3 linked regions of the Caenorhabditis elegans genome follow. The protein of the gene in region 3 purifies or fractionates together with the protein of the main gene of each other region. This does not show direct contact. Each region holds a gene or a part of one and is shown on either strand. Other genes may lie near its edges. The genes, in order: vha-14, suox-1 and dhgd-1.

Region 1 (3,755 bases), on a different chromosome or scaffold from region 3:
AGCAGGAAAATGTTAGGAATTTTTAAGTTTTAAAAGAAAATGGTTGGAGTACATATTCACAGAATCGATTGTTCTTGCATACGGGAAAATTAATGGAATGTTTGTCAATCTATACGAGAAGAAACCACATAGAAAACAGGAAGAACATCGGAGGGTGTTGGATGAGGGGAAGGAAGGGGGATCTGATTACAAATAATGATAAGAGACTAGTGGTCAAATGAGTTCCTACCGTAATCCGAAAAAATTAAAATTACAGCAGAAATCATTGTGAGGCAATCAGAAAATCAAATGGTTAATTGAAAAGGACTGGCAAGTTATCTTCTTCCGATGCAAGCAAATTTCGCGGTGGATTATTTTCAGAATGTGCTGCGTCCTCTCCTGGTCCTGGTCCTTCCAACTGAAATTTTATTTATCTTTTTTAGTTTTAAGTCGTCTCTTATGGGTACACTGTAGTGACAGCATTTTTCAATTCTTTCATGACGGTTCTATTTGGAAAAATGAAAAACCGTTGTAAAAACTTTTCGACTTTTTTCTGATAATATTATTCAATATCGTGTGAGGTGAGAAACCCAGAAATGAAAAGTCGATACTCACTGCTTTTTGAGCAGCTTCTTGTTCCTTCAGTTTCTTTTTGTTAGCCTGAATCTTCTTCATTCTGAAGAACTCCTCTCTTTCCATTTCGTCCAACTCAGTCACAATGTATGTCAGAGTGTTCTCGATACGTGGGATGATAACGTGCTCGATAGCATTGACACGCCTGTTGGTAACCTTGATGGCTTCATCCAAAGTGATGAAGCATGTTTGAAGAGTGGCGAGCTCGACGAGCAATTCGATGGCCTTGTTGTAGTTCTTCTTCAGGCGAGCAATGTTGGCTCCTCCCTTTCCGAGACCAGTAAGATCGTATGCATCTGGTCCGTCTTGGTAGGCGTCGAATACCGGAAGGAAAACTCCTGAAAACGGTTAAATTTCCGACAAAATCAAATTATTTGAACTCTTACAGCTCGCAATTCAGCAGCACGACTTTTAGTTTTTTCGCACTTTTAAGTTAATTCGTTCTAATTCTATCGTTTTTTGAGAAGTAAACTCGATAACGCCAAAAGAAACTCATAGTTTATTCTTAAAATGTGGAAAAAAGTGAAAATATAATCGCGCGAAAAAATAAAAATTCTCGAATGACTCACCGACAACGTTCTCTTTCTTCATGCGAACACGATATTGAGCTTGAGAAACGTTTTGAATGACAGTGTGAGAGAAATCTCCAGCAGTGAACTTGGCTTCAGCCAAAGAGAATGCAGCCTCTTTCATAACCTCTCCCATGAGGACTTTGTTCTGAAAACATTTGATTTTTAGCGTTTCACCTCAGAATTTTCAAACAAACCTCAACAATCTTTCTCAAAATGTCACGGAAACGAAGATTCAACGCATCGGCCTTCTTCTTCAGCAGAGAATGACCCTTTTGAGCACCCTTCAGACGGGTTTTCATCAGGGTTTGCGCCCTGAATAGTTATTTTTTAGATTTCCATCAAGTTTTTCTTCTATAAAACTCACATTCTAGACGGGAAAACCGCGATTCTGTCTTTTCCTCCCCCGGACATGGTTCGACCTGGAAAAAAAGTTTGTTATTTCTATGAAAAAAACATTAAAATATGGCAAAAATGAGCGAAATCGGTTGTTCGCAAGAAATACACAAAAGACCAATGACTGCCGATTGATCGACGGCATTTTCAATAGAGCGAGTTTGCAAGTCTTGTCATGAGGTGGAAATATAAGAGAGAAGAGAGAAGAAGGCATATCTTTGATGTTTCATTGGGAATTGTTGGAATAAAACTTTATCCCAATAGAAAATATCATTTTCAGTAAAAGGTTAAAGGGGTTGGATAATCAATTTAAAAATTAATCTTCGATTTTTTTAAAATTTCAGCTTCAAAACTTTTTGAAATCTAATTTTAAAATAAATGTACTATTCGCAATTTAAAAGCCGGTCCCTCCACTTCTTTTAGCATTAATGACTTGTTTGTTAATAAATATTACCTAGACACGAAATTTTTCGTAAAAAAATACGGTAGCCGGTCTCGACACGACAATTATTTTTCGTAAATTACAAACTGGTGTGCAAGAGTAATGCATTTTTAAACTTTCGCTGCTGTGGAATTTACATTCGGGTTTTTCAGTTTTTCTCACAATTTGTCAAAATTTGAGTGTTTTAGTTGTTTTATTTCAGTTTGTTGATAAATAAATATATTTTGTTAACGAAAACCATGAAAATTCGATAAAAAATTCCGCATAAAAGAAAGTAAGAAATTACAGTAATCCTTAAAAGCACACATCCGTTTGTATTCAACAAAACATAGTCGTGTCGAGACCGGGTACCGTAATTTTCAATGTCCCGAAATAAGCTGACAGATTGAATTTTAAGAAAAGTAGATTGGAGAATTAACCAAGAAGAAAGCATAGAAGAAAATAAACAAATATTGATAAATCATCGTCAAAATTTATTTCACAAAACTTTAGAAAATTATAATGACACAAGAATTAGGTGAGTGGGGGGGGGGGGGGGGGGAAGGGAGCAAAATAAAAATATAATAAATAATATACATGCTATAGGGCGAAGATTGTAAGATCTATTTACGCAACAATCGTGTGAGCAATCCTTTCTTCGATTTCTCACATGGTGGCTGCCAATCACGTCGACTTCTGGTGTTCTTTTCTTCACATTCCAATCGTTTGACCCGTTCAATAAATTCAACAGGAACAGCAAAAAGAGATTGAACGTTTGCGAGGAGGACAGCGGTAATCAGCATTCCTTGTTGCTTTCGGCATTTACTACAAACACCTGTCCAGAGTCCGATGATTGCCTGAAATCGAAAATTTAAAAATTGATATTACACAGACACGAAATATAGCGACAAAAGTACGGTACCGGTCTCGAGGCGAAAAATTTTTGTCGAATGAAACGAATGAAGATTTCTGCAGAATTTTCAGTGTTGAAATATAGGTGTTAATTTTTTAGTTCTATAGTTTTTTAATAGATAAATATATTTTTATCAAATAATTAATTAAAATCCATAAAAATTCGGCAGAAATGATAGTTTGAAATTACAGTGCTCCTTAAAGACTCATACATTTTCTTATCTTACAAAAATTTGTCGAGTCGAGACAGTAGTTTTCTTGCAAAATGATCCCCTCCTTACCGCTTCACGATTGTTGGAAGATCCATTAGAAGGATCAGCGAGGTCGAAGACTGCATTCGTTTCGATCGATTGAATGAATGTAACAAATTTGTGAAGTTTCCGACGTCTTGAAGTTGGAAGCGAAAGAAGTACCAATTGAATTGCTTCGATCAACCACTGCTCTCGGATTTCGTAGGATTTTTCGTCTGAAAATTATAATTTTTAAGTAAAAAATGTGAAACTCTAATAAATATAAATTTCTTTACCTTGTATTTTCAAATTCACTCTATTATCAAATGGTGATAACGCACGTCGTCGATACTTTGAAGCTCGAATTCCACATGCTGGAAGATCTCGGGAGAATCCATCGACCATCAATCCAGCCTCTTCAATACTGGACGCAGACGAAGATATCAACGCTTTCGACCATCGCCTTGCAGCTCCATTTTCAAGCGTTGCAGCGAAGCTATCGACTTTGCAGAGAAGATTCACAATAAGAGAGCATTCATCGAATTGAAGAGGAGCATTAAATTTTTTCGAGACGATTGACTAGAGTTATGAAAATCCGATTGACGTTGTATTCCC
Region 2 (3,755 bases), on a different chromosome or scaffold from region 3:
TGGATGGTTTGTAGGTTCTGGAGATTTATTACTAACCTATAATCTTTTTGCTGCCAATGACTATCACTTTCCTTCTCACTAACAATAATTTTTCTGAGCCATTTCACTTGTCGAGCACCAACATTACCTGAATGACTTCTTTTATTAACGATTATCAGAAAAAATTTTTTAAATAAAAGTATGTTAAAACCGTTGTACCTGGCACAATGACCCGCAGAGGAGCTCCGTGATCCCTCGGAATATCAACTCCATTCATGTGATAAGCGACAATGACTTCATCTCCACGAGCCTTTTCAATGGGAATTGATGCTCCGTAGGGTGTTCCAGTCGGATCAACATCTGCTCCTTCAAAGTGGACGTGCTTGATCTTGTCGTCGAAAACGTCGATTCCTGCGTCAGCGAGAAGATCCTTGAATTTTATTAATTAATATCTCATATTTTAAAATTCAAATTTACTCTCAAGCGAACTCCAGTCCATTCGGCATTACTGATTGCAGTTCCTTCCCACATCAGTCCTTGAACTTTCTTATACTGATTCATATCGGCTCTTCTATTTCCAGCACATTGAATCACACTTCCAATTGTATATGACTTGTACTTCTTCTTGAGCTCCTCTACAGACAAATCCACTGTTTTTCCTTTGATGGTTTCCACAGTCAATCGATGGTTTTCAGTTTTGATCTAAAAAAAAATCCAGCGTAAAACTTCACTACACACACAACCCCTTTTCACATACATCAGGAACCGGAAGATGATTTCGTACAAAGAACAGTTCATTGGGTGTGTAGAAGTGGTCGGTAAGCAGGGAAGGAGGGGTTTCGGCATTGAAGGGCTTCGAGTTACGCACGAGTAAAGCTGGATGACGTTCCGGATCATTGGAGAATGCGTCAGCGACTGGCTGTAAAACAAACACAAACATAGGTGAGATAAGAGGATAAATTGATCAATATTTTGGGTGCGTTTGTACCCGGACCCTAATTAAAATCAACCAAACTCACATTACTTAAATCTTCAAAATCAATCTAAACAAAAAAATTTGTTACCAGAATTTCATAAATCACACAATAAAGGATTGTATGCCACCTCTTTTCTACTCCATGAACTTACTTTCGGAACATCTTTTACATCAAGTTTGCCAATTCGATATCCTTCGAGAATCTCGAGAACCTCTTTTGTCTTGTGCTGTGAGTAGAGAGCCCAAAATGGGTCGACAGCTGCACCGGCGGCAAGCAGAATTTTGTCACCTCCCGGATGCATGGCAATGAAATCTGTGACATCATAGACACCCTGTAAAAATAAGAAAACTATTAATTCCAGTTTATAAACAAGCATCAATTTGGAAATACGCATATATGTAGTTTGAAATGTTCTAAGCGTTCGAAAAAAGTCCTTAAAAACCTGTAACCAAGTCACAAAACTACATTTTGTCCAGTCAGCCAAAACTGGACAGTTGAATAATTGAAATTAGGGCTCCCATGTGGGTGCCGCTTTCACGCCGCAATTCAAATTTTCAAAGCGATGCGCGGAACCCACAAAATGTCGGACGCGGAGTTTGCACCAAACAGTGGCATAGAGTATGACACTATTTGTAGCAAAGTTGACTCCACGTCCGACGCTTTTTGGGTTCCGCGCATCGCTATAAAGGTTTCGGATTGTGGCGTGAGAGGGGTGTTTTCGGGGACGACATAAGAGTCCTAATTGAAAATAATCAACTTACATCTTTGTACGTAACCCAAATCCTGTCTGCGTCTTTTCCATGTTTCTTGACCTCCTCCTGCTTGTATATCTGAAGATTCTCCAATTTCTTCTCTGACATCGTCTCATCTTTGGCGTGATCAAGCTTTGCAGTTTTCACAAAGTGTTTGAATCCGAGCACTCCAGCAGTTGCGGCTCCTCCAATATATGCATACTTGTCTAAACATTAGTTAATAGATTTTCAAGTTTTCGTGGTAGATCCCTACAATAAGAGTGATTTTCATTAGTCCTCTGATGTTCTGAAGTGGCGCCCGAAAGTTTGTTGAACTGACGCCGGTGTCTAAAAAACCGATTGAAAGATGTGCCCCGGCCAAGCATTCTGAAAAAATTTGCAAAATCTTTGAAACTTATTAGTTTAAAATATCAAGATTGCCGAAAAACAAACAATACTTTGAAAAATAAAATATCTTTTTTAGAAATTGAATTTTGAAAAAAAATTGAAACAAAAAAAACTACGAAGTTCACAAACACATTGAAAAGTGGACTGAATCAGGGGGGAAAAAGAAAGCAAAACCCGACTAGTTTTATTAAACAATTATTCGAATATGAGGAATTTTTGGTGAATGAGGGTACAATAAAAACATGCTAATAAAACCGATTTCTATAAAACAATAACTGAATTATTTGGTATTTTTACAGTTCTAATCAATTGAAGTTTGAGGGAAGAACGAAAAATGGAATATCAGAAAAAAAAAACGTCACGTGGCAGAAACTGAGAAGAGGAACAGTGAGAGAGAGCAGAGGTCGTAGAGAAAACGAGAGAGAGAGACAGGTTTCGTCGCCTTTGCTGACCATTGACCAGCGGTCATTGATTGCAAGTTACGATGGGTGGTTGAACATTTGAGAAACAACAAGTTGTCGTTGTTCTCTACCTCTCTACCACTCTAATATTTAATAGTTAATGGTTGGGAAACAATCCAATTTCATTTTTCATCCAGAGAACTCTGAAATAATTTGGGCGAACGCAGCGTGAGCAACATCTGGTGAAGAGATGAAGCAGACTCGTTTGGCGTCTCCAACAATATTTGTGATGTTCTCTTGAAGCTGCTTGTTGATATTGACAAACAAGGCTCGAACGTTCTGGAAAAAATAAGTTTTCAAGAAATTTATCTGATGTGTTTAGCATTTTAGCATTATTTCAAATACAAGTTTAATTTAATAAGAGAAATGTTTACTAGCGTGTCTACGAGGTTATTCCAGCTCACGCGGCTCACGTGGAGTCAGGCTCTCCCATCACAATTTTATCTACTAAAAAGTGCGGGATTTTTTTTTGCCAAAAAATGTGACGTCATCATGTTCTAAACAATGTAAAATCAGAGTTGAGAACTCTGCGTCTTAAAACCCGCGTTTTTCGTAGATCTAAGTAGATCAAACCGAATTGGGACATTATGACACCACGTGCAAGCTATTAAGAAGCTATCAGTTCATGAAAATGCCTACTTCGCAAAAATAGCGATAGCACAGAGAACATGCGATGACCAGTGGTTTAGGTGCCTTCGCAACGAGATATTCCCGCGCCAAAACGGTAGGCATTCTCGCGATCTTATGATTTCTTAATATGTATGATGTTGTCCACTGTTGTTTTATTGATAGCGAAAAATATTCAAAAGTATGCTAATAGTGGTTCAATTGACATACTATCTCAATTCAAAATCTTACCTCTGGATTCTCGTCTGCTGCTTTTTTCAACATCGGAACATCACTCGCGGTGTCCCCTGCGACACAAACTTTTCCAACCTTCAACGAGTCGTGGAGTGATTCCACTAAAGCAGCAACTCCATCTCCCTTGTTCCAAACAGCTCCTGTAATTCGAAAATCATCATCATAAATTTCAAAATTGAGCATTACCTGACGAATGAACGCATACTTCAATTTCTAACGGTGAACAATTTTCTAATACTAAATATTGACTGTTGGGATCAACTCGATGGATTCGTTCACGAACTGCATCAATGTATCTAGCTGAGAGGTCTTCTGGAACTTGCTTGAAAACCGTTTGA
Region 3 (3,755 bases):
TTTAGCCTCATCTATAGCAGTATCTGCGAGAAGAATCGTAAGATTCATTGATAATTCTATATATTTTCCAATAATTTTATCCGAAGCTGGATGTGAAGTTTCTACAGTACCTCCGTGGCATAATACTACAATGGAAGCAAAAAGAGCGACAATTAGGATCGTCATTTTAGTGGAGAATGATGAATTGACCCGGCTCTTTGGGGGTTGGAGGATTCATTTTCCCCTTCAACAGGTGCTCAAATAATTAAAGAGAATAGAACCGACGATATATGGGTCAAATGTTTATACAGTTGTGCTACTAAACGTATTGTTACACGCGTTATTAATAATTAGAATTAGAATTATATCGTTTTGTACGGATTGAGAATCCCATTTGGGTCGAAAATGTTCTTGAGCTTCTTTGTCAAAAGTCGTTCTTCAGGATCTTTTCCGAATGTGGAGTACGGTAGCTTCAGTTGACCGATTCCATGTTCAGCTGAAATTGACCCGCCGTGATCGACAACCCATTCGTAGAGGAAGGGATAGAGCCTGGAATTTGAAATTATTAATAGAATTAAAATTTTATAAAAAAGAAAAATCTCGAAACTTACAATTTTTCAAGTTCTTCATTGTGTTTTTCAGATGTAATATTTAAATGAGTGTTTCCATCTCCCAAATGTCCATAAGTGACAATTCTTTTAGCCAAAGAACCACATCGTTCCTTCATCACATTCGTCAATTCATAATAATTTTCCAATGGTAAAGAAACATCATGCTTATAGACATATCCATCTCTGGTAACCGCCAATGGTGCACTTTCTCTCAATTGCCACATCTTCGTAGCTTCTGCAGAAGATCCAGCGAGCACTCCGTCGATAATCAGATTTTTTGAGAGGCATTCATCCAAAAATGCGCTCATTTTCTCCATATCGTGATCTTCATTGGATCCTGATGTTTCGACAAGGATCGAGAATGGGGTTGGAGCATTCAGTACTGGGTGCAATCCTAGATTCGTTTTCAAACATTCCATCGTAGCATCGTCGAGAAGTTCGAAGGAGGAAAGGATTTCAGTGAGGCTGGATTTTGCAAGCTTCAGTACTTCGCAGCATTTTTTGAAGGATTCGATGCCTGAAAAAAATTAGAAATTGAAAAATTTGAACCCATTATATAAATATTCAACCTACCAAGCATCGCACTTTGTACACTTTTCGGTTTAGGAACCGCAGTCATTGTGACGCTTGTGATAACACCCAACTGCCCTTCACTTCCCAAGAATAGGTGTGGAGTGTGCAAAGTTGTGTTGTCCTTCCGAATGCTTGATCCCAAATGTAGAACAGTTCCATGTTCATCGGGAAGAACCACCGTGAGCCCGAGAAGATGTGCGTGAAGACTTCCGTATCGAATCAACCGAATCCCTCCTGCACACGTGGCAATATTTCCTCCAATCTGACAGGATCCTTTGGCTCCGAGATCAAAAGGCATCATATATCCGAGTTTTGCAAGTTTGTTGTCCAAGTCTTCCAGAATAAAACCAGAATCACACTTGAGAATTCCCATTGTGTCGTCGAAAGAGAATTGCTTGTTGATTTTATTCATTGATATAACAACTTCATCATGTACTGGAATTGATCCACCAACGAGTCCTGTATTCCCTCCTTGTGGGACTACTGCCAATTTGTTCTTGGAGCAATACGCCAATATTGCAGAAACCTCTTCGGTGCTCTTCGGGTAGAGGACGACACTGCCAGGACCTGGAAATTAAAACATTTAATATTTAAAGTACCTATTTAATATTAAATAAACCTAATCTTAAAATACAAATACCTTTAAATTGGCCTGTCCAATCTGTAGTATGATTTGTAATATCGTCCTTCTTCACTGCATCTTGCCCGAGAAAATTCTCAAATGCCATTAAATCCGACTGCATCACTTTTGCAAATCCTTCATGTCTGGCGGCAAGAACTGCTGCGTAGCTTCTAGTTGGTCTTCTGATTCGTGGCAAGATTTTCAGAAACATCTGAATTCAGAAACTTTTCAAAAAATAACTTGAAACTTCAAAAGAAATAGTAGGAGACAAAGCTCGGCTAGGTGACCGATTTGCCGAAAACAATAAGAAAACAAACGGCTGGGCAGTGATAAGAAAAAGAGACAGAAGAGATACAAATGATCATAGTTCATTTTATGTACTGTTAACAGAAGTGTGTAATTAAAATCATTCGTAATCCTCCAAAACTCCGTCCATATGCTCGTTTTGTACTTTTTGATTGAACCGTCTCTTCGCGGCTTTTCTTTTCAGTGGAGCCTGCATTCGAACCTTCGGCGTCAGATCCTTCATCGCGTCGAGACCCTTCTTCTGGAGATATTCTTCGATTTTCTTCTCATCCAAATGATCCACAGACACGTGTCTCCACAAGGCTTTGAAATCGTCTTCGAGCTCTGGGAATGTGAATTCTTTGTCATTGTAGAAGACGACTCGATCCTTTTTCTTATTGACTTGTGTCGGAACAACGATCACTTCAGAGGATACTTGCTGGAAAAATTTAATTTAATATTTCACAAAATTGCTCCTTTTTTATACTTTGATTTTTTCAGTTTGACAAATTTAAAAATTCTGATTTTTAATCAAAATTAACCCTAAATACCCTAGTTTTTGAAAAGTTATAATGAGAATATTCTGCCTTCAAAAATGTTTTTCCTTTGAAAATTTTTTAAGGAAAAAGGTTTTATGCTGGAAAAGTGTAATAATTTTTTTTTACTTTATTAAATATATTTTTTCAAACCTTTTTTTTATCGATTTCAATGTTTTTTTGTGGAATATTTAACTTATGGGATCGAAAATGATCAAAATTATTCGTGTAAAAATTGAAAAATAACGTTAATTTGTTCAAAAGTCTGAAAATAAAGTAATTTCTGAATTTTATTTTATAAATTTTCAACACATTTTATCTTTTTTGTGAATTTATATATTTAATTTTCAATTTATTTCAATTTGAAAATCAAAAAAAAACACATTGTTGAATACTCAGAAATTCTAAAAGATCTAATTCATCACAAACTCAAATTTTAATTACTACGAAAAATAAGCCGCTGATAATTTTAAAATCAATTTTACTAATTTTTAGCTGAAATTTTTGAAAAATAAAAACTTTATTTTTGTTATAAATTATTCAAATTCCCACCTGCAGTAGTGCATCATAATTAGCCACACACTCAGCCAAATCCGACACAAGAATTCCACCTTTTCCGTCCTGATAATGTTTCCTCGCGACAGCTACCAACGAAGTTTTTCCTTTAATTTTGTAAGGTGGTCGAAATGCGAATTTTTCGGATTCCATTATCAGTCGAGGATTGTTTGGTAATGCTTCTTGAAGGAAAGCAAGACTTCTTTTTGAAAGATCAAAAATTTGAAGTTCATCGAGAATTTCTTGAAGTGTCAACGGCCATTGTTGATTGTTTAGGTGGCGTTTCTGCAATTAACTGTTTTTAACTCGAAAATTTCGCTTTAAAATATAAATACCTTCATATAATCCACAATTTTCGCCATTGTACTGAAATTTGTGGCATTTGATAACGCATTGGCGTTGCTCACGGAATTATTGAAATCTGGGACTGAAAATTCCGTTTTCAGAAACTAATATTACATTTTAACAACTAACGTTTCGACAAATTTTGAGCCGGTCCAGAGCTTTTCTTCTTTTTCGCTTTTGCTGCTTCTGAAGAGTATGTTGTGTGTGAATTTGGTGCTGTTGTCTTAAAAAATCGATAAATTCAATATT

What was found.
Region 1: the proteins of dhgd-1 (region 3) and vha-14 fractionate together in Caenorhabditis elegans (co-fractionation; one large-scale study listed by BioGRID). This does not show direct contact.
Region 2: the proteins of dhgd-1 (region 3) and suox-1 fractionate together in Caenorhabditis elegans (co-fractionation; one large-scale study listed by BioGRID). This does not show direct contact.

What each region holds. Positions count from the first base shown.
Region 1 is NC_003281.10:9,505,948-9,509,702, reverse strand, and holds the start of vha-14 (V-type proton ATPase subunit D), read right to left. Parts: upstream 1,604-3,755; 5' UTR 1,596-1,603; coding exon 1,549-1,595; intron 1,497-1,548; coding exon 1,379-1,496; intron 1,330-1,378; coding exon 1,182-1,329; intron 951-1,181; coding exon 595-950; intron 398-594; coding exon 293-397; 3' UTR 1-292. UniProt on the Caenorhabditis elegans protein: Subunit of the V1 complex of vacuolar(H+)-ATPase (V-ATPase), a multisubunit enzyme composed of a peripheral complex (V1) that hydrolyzes ATP and a membrane integral complex (V0) that translocates protons.
Region 2 is NC_003284.9:15,495,874-15,499,628, reverse strand, and holds the start of suox-1 (sulfite oxidase), read right to left. Parts: upstream 2,075-3,755; 5' UTR 2,074-2,074; coding exon 1,962-2,073; intron 1,915-1,961; coding exon 1,718-1,914; intron 1,288-1,717; coding exon 1,108-1,287; intron 1,023-1,107; coding exon of another isoform or gene 975-1,022; exon of another isoform or gene 899-974; coding exon 737-898; intron 682-736; coding exon 457-681; intron 410-456; coding exon 199-409; intron 128-198; coding exon 37-127; intron 1-36. Other genes in the region: gob-1 (Trehalose-phosphatase), read right to left, coding at 2,686-2,835, 3,415-3,557, 3,604-3,755.
Region 3 is NC_003280.10:11,538,635-11,542,389, forward strand, and holds dhgd-1 (D-2-hydroxyglutarate dehydrogenase, mitochondrial), read right to left. Parts: upstream 1,997-3,755; coding exon 1,804-1,996; intron 1,731-1,803; coding exon 1,164-1,730; intron 1,108-1,163; coding exon 591-1,107; intron 529-590; coding exon 342-528; 3' UTR 270-341; downstream 1-269. Other genes in the region: Y62F5A.9 (uncharacterized protein), read right to left, coding at 1-165; gtf-2E2 (Transcription initiation factor IIE subunit beta), read right to left, coding at 2,192-2,509, 3,159-3,446, 3,497-3,588, 3,636-3,729.